Linked DNA regions of Danio rerio. The protein of the gene in region 2 purifies or fractionates together with the protein of the main gene of each other region. This does not show direct contact. Links are inferred from orthologs where the notes say so. Each region holds a gene or a part of one and is shown on either strand. Other genes may lie near its edges.

Region 1 (3,921 bases), on a different chromosome or scaffold from region 2:
TTGAATAAAATACAAAATACATATATATGCTTTATAGAATTATCTGTTCATCTTCGACTTTACTCAAGGTCGAGAATTAATGTAGTCTTACTTTCCTGACTCTTTATCCCTACTTTCTTCTTCACAGCCATGCTTATAAGATGTAAATGCAAAATAAGATCATCATCATATTATATAAACTTATTATATAAACCAAGCTGTCTACACTTAGATGTCTATTAGACGTCTATTAAACCCAAAATAGTTTGCTGGGTGATGTCTTTTCGTAATATAGCTGTTATAAAACAAGCTTTAGCATACAAAAGTGTACAGATCCTAAAATAGCATAACAAGGGTATTTCCAGTAAAACGTATTACTCGAGAACCAACCTTCCCCAGAAGTTCCTCAAATTCAGACGGCCACTCTTGCATCAGGCTGTCAATGTCTGGCATGGGCCTGAAGAAATATATACAAGACTCTGGTTACAAATTGACATACATGTTGTGATTTGTTTGTCTGGATGTTTTTGTTAGTGTTTGCCTTGTGTAGTGAACTGTAGCTGGAGGTTTGGAGCGATGCAGCTCGCTAATGCTCTCAATCCAGTTTTCTATAGCTTTAGGGTTCTTCTCAGGGTTTTCAATGCTCTTAATTTTCACTTCCTGTGAAAGAGAAGTGCATCACAGTGTTATTTTAGTTGTCAGGCTGCAATCTTCAAAGTGTCTTCATTAGTCTTCTAGTGCGTGCGAAGACTTACTGTGACGTTGTGCTGTTTGCTGTTCTCTGAGAGCCACAGGGAAAGCACTGTCGGATCTGACTGTTTAGTGCACGGCTCATCCAGAACCAGCAGACCCAGATTGTCAGGCTTTCCGTCAGGCCGTGGTACCTGTAAAACGCAAAGAGAAAATGTATAATGAAGCTGGAAATGCAGCAGTGCTTCAAGTGTGAGATGTTTAACTTACTTTGAGGAAAGCATCAATGTCTCCCACAGCTGGGATAAAATCGGGGATAAAGGGTTTCAGTTTGTGGTCAAGCTCTATCGTCTGTGGAGTGTATCTAAAGAATACAGTTTACAATTAATACCAGTAAAAAGTGAAATGACCTTGTTTTGGTTGTTTCTTCAAGATTTTATTTTTTTTTTACTTTCTGAAGATGATAACTTAATGGTCTTAAAAACCTTTTACATATTTATTTTTACAAATTTAAAAAATGTGATTATATTTAAATAACTGTATTTATAATAATTACTTTATACAGTCAGAATTATTAGCCCTCCTGAATTATAAGCCCCCTGTATATTTTTTCCACAATTTCTGTTTAATGGAAAGAAGATTTTTTCAACACATTTCTAAAAATAATTGTTTAAAAAACTTAAAAAATATATACAAAATAAATAAATTCAATAAAAAAATAACATCATATAAATTGAGTAAGTAAACCAAACCAAAAGACATACAAGAAAAAAGGGAAGTAAAAAAAAAGAAAAAAAAAAAAGGTGGGGGGGGGGGTGGGGGGGATGGTTGCTAATATCATAGCCTTAATCATTATTTTGTCTCGTTACATGTTTGCTAACATTTTGGGTCGCTGAAATTTTACCCATTTATCAAAATAAATTTAAATTCTTCCATGTAAACTGTAGGAGAGTTTTTCAAAAGCTGCAACTTGTCCTAACCCTGAGATCCACTCAAAGATTGAGGTCAACTGGAAGATTTCCAGTTTTTAACAATCACTCATCTGCCCAGCATGATACAGCTCTGTATCCACTGTGATTCAGCTTTATTCATGTGGCTTAAGGGACAGGGGTCACCAAGCATGTATATAAAAACTCATTTTTAATAACTGATCAATTTTATCTTTGCCATGATGACAGTACATAATATTTGACTAGATGTTTTTCTAAACTCTTCTATACAGCTTAAAGTGACATTTAAAGGCTTAACTGGGTTATTTAGGTTAACTAGGAAAGTAAGGGTAAATAGGCAAGTCATCTCCTTGAGTAACAATGTTTGTTCTGTAACCAATCGAAAAAAGGAGGCTAATAATAATGACTTTAAAATGGTTTTCAAAAAAAAAATAGAAAACTGCTTTTATTCTAGCCGAAATGAAGCAAATAAGACTTTCTCTAGAAGAAAAAATAGTATAGGAAATACTGTGAAAATTTCCTTACTCTGTTAAACATTGTTTGGGAAACATTTGAAAAAAAATTACTTGAGGGCTAATAATTGTGACTTCAACTGTACATAAATATCATGTTACCTAATTGCTAATGATCTGTTTATCATTTTCAATCAAGCAGTAATTTTATAAAATTAAATGTACGACATATTACAAAAGACAGAATTAAAAGAGTTTAATTCTAAAACTCACAATCATTTTCACCAGATAATGCCTTTGAAAAAAAATAATTATTAGATGCTCAAAATGTTTGAATTATTCTTAAAGTTTTATGACACAATAATATTATTTTTTACAGTGTTAAGGCTCATTCACCAAGAGTGATAACTATAGCCCTAATGTTAGCATTAATGTAAATGCAAATTCAGCTTATAAGCATGCACTGCAGCTTTGTCACATTCCTTTAAACACTGTTTCTTGTAAAGGTGTGAAGTGGTTGCATGCTGACCTTGTGATATACTGAAACAGCTCTTTGATCTCGCCTGTCACAGGAAGATGCTCGTAATCAGCCGGGTCATAAGCACTATGAAGAGTCATACATAAATGCATAAATAAACGTACATTATGTTCAAAAATCATAAACTATCTTTTGGTTTAGTATAGATTATGTAGTATAAAGCACCACATACCATTATTAAAATACACAATATCCAACAACTAATCAATAATTTTGATTCATTTAGCTAAAAGAAAAAAAAATATGAATATCAGTGATTCTCTTTCATTATTTTCACACACACGCACACAAGAAAAGGTCCCATTTTATATTAAGTGTCCCTAACTACTATGTACTTACATCAAAAAAATAAATACAATGCACTTACTGTGTTTATAATGTATTTGAGAACACTTGTGGTGCTTTTGAGTTGGGATAGAGGTTGGGTTATGGACAGGTTTGGTGGCATGGGTAGGTTTAAGGGTGGGTTAAGGTGTAGGGAATGGTCAGCAGTGTATTTACAAATGTAATTACAAAAGTTAATTACAGATGTAATTACATACATGTATTTAATCAAGCATAAGTACACAGTAAATACATGTATTTACTTAATAAGTACATTGTAACAACGTAAGTACATGTAGGTACATGTAAGTTCCTATGTAGTTAAGGCCACTTAATATAAAGACCAAAAAAAATTGAAATACCTTTTGGTTTTGAGAAGATTATGTATTATAATGCACCAAGTACTATCATTAAAATACATTTTCAACAAATAATCTATCACTTTTATTCATTTAGCTAAAAGTAAATAAAATATTTAAGTCAGTCATTCTGTCTTTCTATTTCACCACAAAAAAAATGATAAAATACCTTTTGGTTTTAAGTAGATACTGTATTATAATCCTCTAAACACTAAATTTATTACTGAAACTTTACTTTTCTTTTTACTTTTTTTTTTAATTCTACTCCTTTCAGCAGACGGTGTGTGAGTAAATAATGGCTAGCAGCTCTACCCTTCTGGAGCAGATCCTGGCTCCTCTTCCTCCTCATCAGATTCTGTGTCATCAGAATCATCATCATCGTCGTCATCATCATCATCCTCATCTTCTTCTTCATCATTCTTATTAGCACCGCGGGGACCAGGTGGTGGCTCTTTCTTTCTCTGTTGTCAAATGTGAATGAGTTATGCATCGAAATCATAAGTCCAAGGCATTTGAAAAGTAAGTGAAGAAATTTGAAAAAGTCTTTATTAACATGGCTATTCTTTAAAAACAGCACCTGCACACTTTTAAAACATTTGCCTTCATCAGGGTAACCATGTTCAGGTGCG
Region 2 (4,653 bases):
AGATGAATCTGTCCAAAACGCTTGTAGTTATGCTAGGGACTGAGCTCATTTCAATCTCCAAATATTTGTGTTCATGCTCGCACCAACATCATAGAGACAGAGACGGGCAGAGTGAAAGAAAGATTGACCCATCAGCCAAAAAAAGATCTCTTGGAATTAATCTCAACAGCTGAGCGGCTCTGCCCAACACATAGAGACCTAACACGAGGAACACACTGCTGCACAGTTTATCTAGGGACAACAGAATACAATAATGTGTTAAATACAATTCATCATTCAAACAGCTTTTCTCATTCAGAAAATAAATATGGGAGAAAATGTGTAAAATTATAAAACAGTGTTCAAAAGGTTTTTTAGGTTTTATCTTAATATTGAGCAAGAGCATTAATCAAAAAGTGACAATAAAGGGTTTATTATTGTGACATAAAATATCCTTATAGTAAATGCAGTACTTTTGTAAATTCAAGTCCATCAAAGAATCCTGAAAAAGTATTATGAATTGTAATATTTTAATATTACTTATTTGCTGTAAATAATACAACTTTGGTGAGCACTAGGCATGGGCCGGTATAAGATTATGTTGATATGATAACCTTGGATAAAAATATTGTGATTACTGCTCTAAAATATATTCTTTTTAAATGTCTTAGTAAAAAAAAAAAAATTTCCCCCTTTCAATACAATATATTTTTTATTTTGAGAACAATTTAAAATATTGTGGGACTGTAAACATGTCAGGCTAAATAAATGAAATGAATGGACTTCTCTTGTCTTCATTAGTTTCAAAAACACTGATTTATTTACGATTTCGAACAGCATGTTTGGATATCTATTCTGCTAAAGATACTGTTGTCTTAAAAAAAATAATAATAATAAAAATTGAATAAAACAATCCTCCATATACCGAAGGAACAGTATTGCAGAAAATTCTGCCTTGACTTTTTCAAAGCAGTTATCATTCATTGTCTAGTGAGCACAACCGACTTAAAAGACTCAAAAGACTGAAGATTTTTCATATAATAATAAGTAACCACATTTATAGCATAAAGAAAAAAAATAAACATAATTAGATCAGCACAGATAACCTTAAACCATAACATTGACTATAAATGACTTTCATGTGTCAGACATTGAGTTGTGTTGAAAACCAAAATACTTAAAAATCACCGTTTAAACTTGTAAAAACCAAAATAATTACTCTCTGGTTTTTGTAACATAACGTATTTTATGCCCTTACAATGGTTTTACTATACATAAAACAATAAACAGAGGTAATTTACTGTGACTAAACATAACAGTTCTGGCAACTAGAAATCAACCATGGTTTGTACTTTGAAAGTGTGGTGATGATAATAATTATTTGTTTTCCATTCTTATTGTTAACACACACGCATTTATTATTAATTATGTTATTAATAAAGAGTCAGTTTCAAAGAACCAGCAAGAAAAGCAACATATCTTTTCGATTGGAGTAACGTTAGATATGGAGTCGTTTCTTCTCCGCTCCAGCGTGTGGCAGCACTGTCAGACTACACACGGTAACATTATAAAACTCTTAGCCAAAATCAGATTTCGGCTCGCTGCTTTTTTTCTATTCAATAATTATGCATAGTCATTGATTATTGATTATTTATAGCTTTCTGTTTATTATCTGTGACTATTCAGTAGATACTTTTACTTTGTTTGCTGTCATGGCCGTCGCTGTGTGTGACGTCATTCCTGACGACAGTAACTACAACATCCCGAATCCGCTGCTGCAGAATAGCCGTGTATATATCTGTCTGTATTCGTACCTGCAGTGTTAATAAAAGCTTTAAACTAATTTCCCTTTGCGAGTAAAGATTGTTAAATGTGAAAAGAGAAAGAGAGAGGGATGGCGGAGGAGGAAGAGCGCGGTCCGGGCTCTGTCTATCAGATGTTCGTGTTGATGGAGGATCTGCTGGATAAACTGAAGGTTCTCGATTATGAGCAGCACGTTCTGGACAAACACAACATCAAACCTCTGTCCAGGTAAGAGAGACTCGGAATGTGGATTAGAAAGTATTTGATGTAAATAGCATTACAGTTAAAGTGAAATCTCTCATCATGAATTTAGTATCGGGTTTTACAAACCTGGATGAGTTTTTTTCTTCGGTTGGACATATAAGATAACATTTTGGACAACATTGGTAAACGAGTAAAGTTAGTTTCTGGTCCCCATTCACTTTTATAATATGGAACCTGTAAGAAAATGAACGTTGCAAAGTAGATAGAGTTACTTTTTAGCCGTCAGTTTATAGTAAAATCCACTTATCATATATTATCATAAAATGAAAATTCTGTCAACATTTACTAGAATGATGGAAACTATATTGACAAAAATATTATCAGTCAGTGGCTGTTGCTTTCCAACATTTTTTATAATATCTTCTTTTGTGTTCACACGTTTAAGACCTTTAAATTAATATAAGTTTAATAGTAGAATAAGAACAGAAATAGCCGTTGCTATTTTTATTTGTTGTACACACAAAAGCATCTCTCGCAGATTGATAAAATTCTGATTGAACCACTGGAGGCGTATTTCTGTTTTAAGGATGTTTTTTGTTATTTTTCTGGATGACTCAGAACCATTGCTGTCTATGGAAGATGAGAGAGCTCTCAGATTTAATCTAAAATATCTTATGTTGTATTCTGAAGAGGAACTAAGGTCTCTAACATGTCAGGATAATATACTTTTGAACAATGTTTGAAGAAGTTGATATCAAAGAGACTGCGTGTTATAACGTAGACATCAGAAAAAGTAAATAAGAACATCAGAGTGAGTACAGTGCTCAGTGAGTACACCACATTTTGAAAATGTATATATCTTCAGTGAATATAGGCAATGTGTTTTGGTGCATTTAAACAAAGCAGATTTATTAAACAGATATATTTATATAAATAATATTTTGCTCACCAAACATATTTATAAACTGAAAGATAATACAATTAAATTCAAGCAAAATATTACAAAATTTCAACTAAATTTTATTTTCTTTTTCTTGTTTTTGCTTTTTAAAAATTGTATTTAATATTTTTCTATAACATATACATTTGGTTGTACTAGTTTTATTTAGTTACATAAGTTCTAGATTTGGCTTCAGTACTGACTAATCTAATGTATATGCACAAATATAATACTGTATAGCTTCCTATTCAAAATATAAATTTAAAAGATAGATTTGTGAGGGGTGTACTTATACATGCTGAGCACTGGAAATAATGACTGATTTTTCATTTCAACTTTTGCCTTAATACTCTGTATTTTTCAGACATTATTTTGTCTCCAGCCCTCATGTGTTGTCAAATCCCGGTGAGCAGTTCTATATGTTCAGTGTAATTGCTGCCTGGTTGATTACATTATGCGGGCGACCGTTCGACACACCACAGGAGTATGACGACCCCAACGCCACAGTCTCCAACATCCTGTCTGAACTTCGAACCCTGGTGAGGCGATAACACTGATTACACCCTCACAAATGTGTATGGGTGTATGCATTTAGGTTTATGATTATCATCTGTATGTGATTTGTAGGGAGGCCAGGTTGATTTCCCCCCATCTAAGCTGAAGACTGGGTCTGGAGAGCATGTCTGTTATGTTCTAGACCAGCTGGTAGAAAAGGCACTAAAGAGTAAAGGTTTTGCCTGGAACAGGTACACATATATTTAACAGCACACACTATGGGCAGGGGCGGGTTTAGCGAATCGGGGACCCTAGGCAACTTCAGCCATGGGGCCCAAGTCCTGATGCACCTTTTCTACTTTTTTTTATTTAAATGTATTTATTTTCTGTAACTCAATCTTCTTTTTTTATGGTTTATCTTAATGCAATCTTTACAACCTTTACATACGATAACAAATATATATATATATATATATATATATATATATATATATATATATATATATATATATATATATATATATATATATATATATATATATATATATATATATATATAATCATAGATTTACTGCTGGACTGCTCCATGATAGGGGAGCTGGATATTTTGTTTCATAATATTAATATTACAAAACATTACATTATTAAAATAATATAAGATTTTACTGTATATTAAATAATATTTAATTATGTACAAAATATCTCACTATACAAAATATGATAGAAATTATGTTTTATATATAGTTTATAAGTATAATCTATACTTCTAGATATTTATTGGGGCCCTAAGCGGCCACTTACCTTGCTTATTGGTTAAATCCGCCCCTACTATGGGCTTGTTTACACTTGGTCACTTCATGCGTTTTTGCTGACTGCATAGCTATCTGATTTGTTCAAATAGTGCCATGTACATTTGACCACATGAATGCATCTTCGCTAAATTAATATGATTCCTTGGATATCTTCAAATCTGCTCTATATACAAATTTAACTAGTTTATGTTGACTAAAGCATCTGATACATTTTATTTTATTTAAATAGTATTCGCTTTTACACAAATCTAATCTATATTTTTGATTCTGGATACAAATGCTTTTATATGTAGGCTCCTGGAGGCTTTGTGTTTGAAACATCCTCATAATAATAAAAAATAAAAAAATTGCATGAAGTGACAAAGTTTAAACCACACATATGAGCTTACAACAGGTTGAGATCATTTTCTATGGTGGTTT

Evidence for each region. The genes of interacting proteins can lie anywhere in the genome.
Region 1: the proteins of ift57 (region 2) and ift46 purify together in Homo sapiens (affinity purification with mass spectrometry; 3 studies listed by BioGRID and IntAct, counting the BioPlex papers as one, with this or other methods). This does not show direct contact. The link is inferred for Danio rerio from reciprocal best matches to the Homo sapiens genes IFT57 and IFT46.

What each region holds. Positions count from the first base shown.
Region 1 is NC_133185.1:34,663,756-34,667,676, forward strand, and holds part of ift46 (intraflagellar transport protein 46 homolog), read right to left. Parts: exon of another isoform or gene 3,754-3,921; coding exon 3,605-3,753; exon of another isoform or gene 3,567-3,604; intron 2,676-3,566; coding exon 2,601-2,675; intron 1,034-2,600; coding exon 940-1,033; intron 864-939; coding exon 735-863; intron 640-734; coding exon 521-639; intron 437-520; coding exon 370-436; intron 1-369. UniProt on the Homo sapiens protein: Forms part of a complex involved in intraflagellar transport (IFT), the bi-directional movement of particles required for the assembly, maintenance and functioning of primary cilia. May play a role in chondrocyte maturation and skeletogenesis.
Region 2 is NC_133177.1:45,211,835-45,216,487, forward strand, and holds the start of ift57 (intraflagellar transport protein 57 homolog), read left to right. Parts: upstream 1-1,735; 5' UTR 1,736-1,873; coding exon 1,874-2,010; intron 2,011-3,290; coding exon 3,291-3,465; intron 3,466-3,553; coding exon 3,554-3,672; intron 3,673-4,653. UniProt on the Homo sapiens protein: Required for the formation of cilia. Plays an indirect role in sonic hedgehog signaling, cilia being required for all activity of the hedgehog pathway.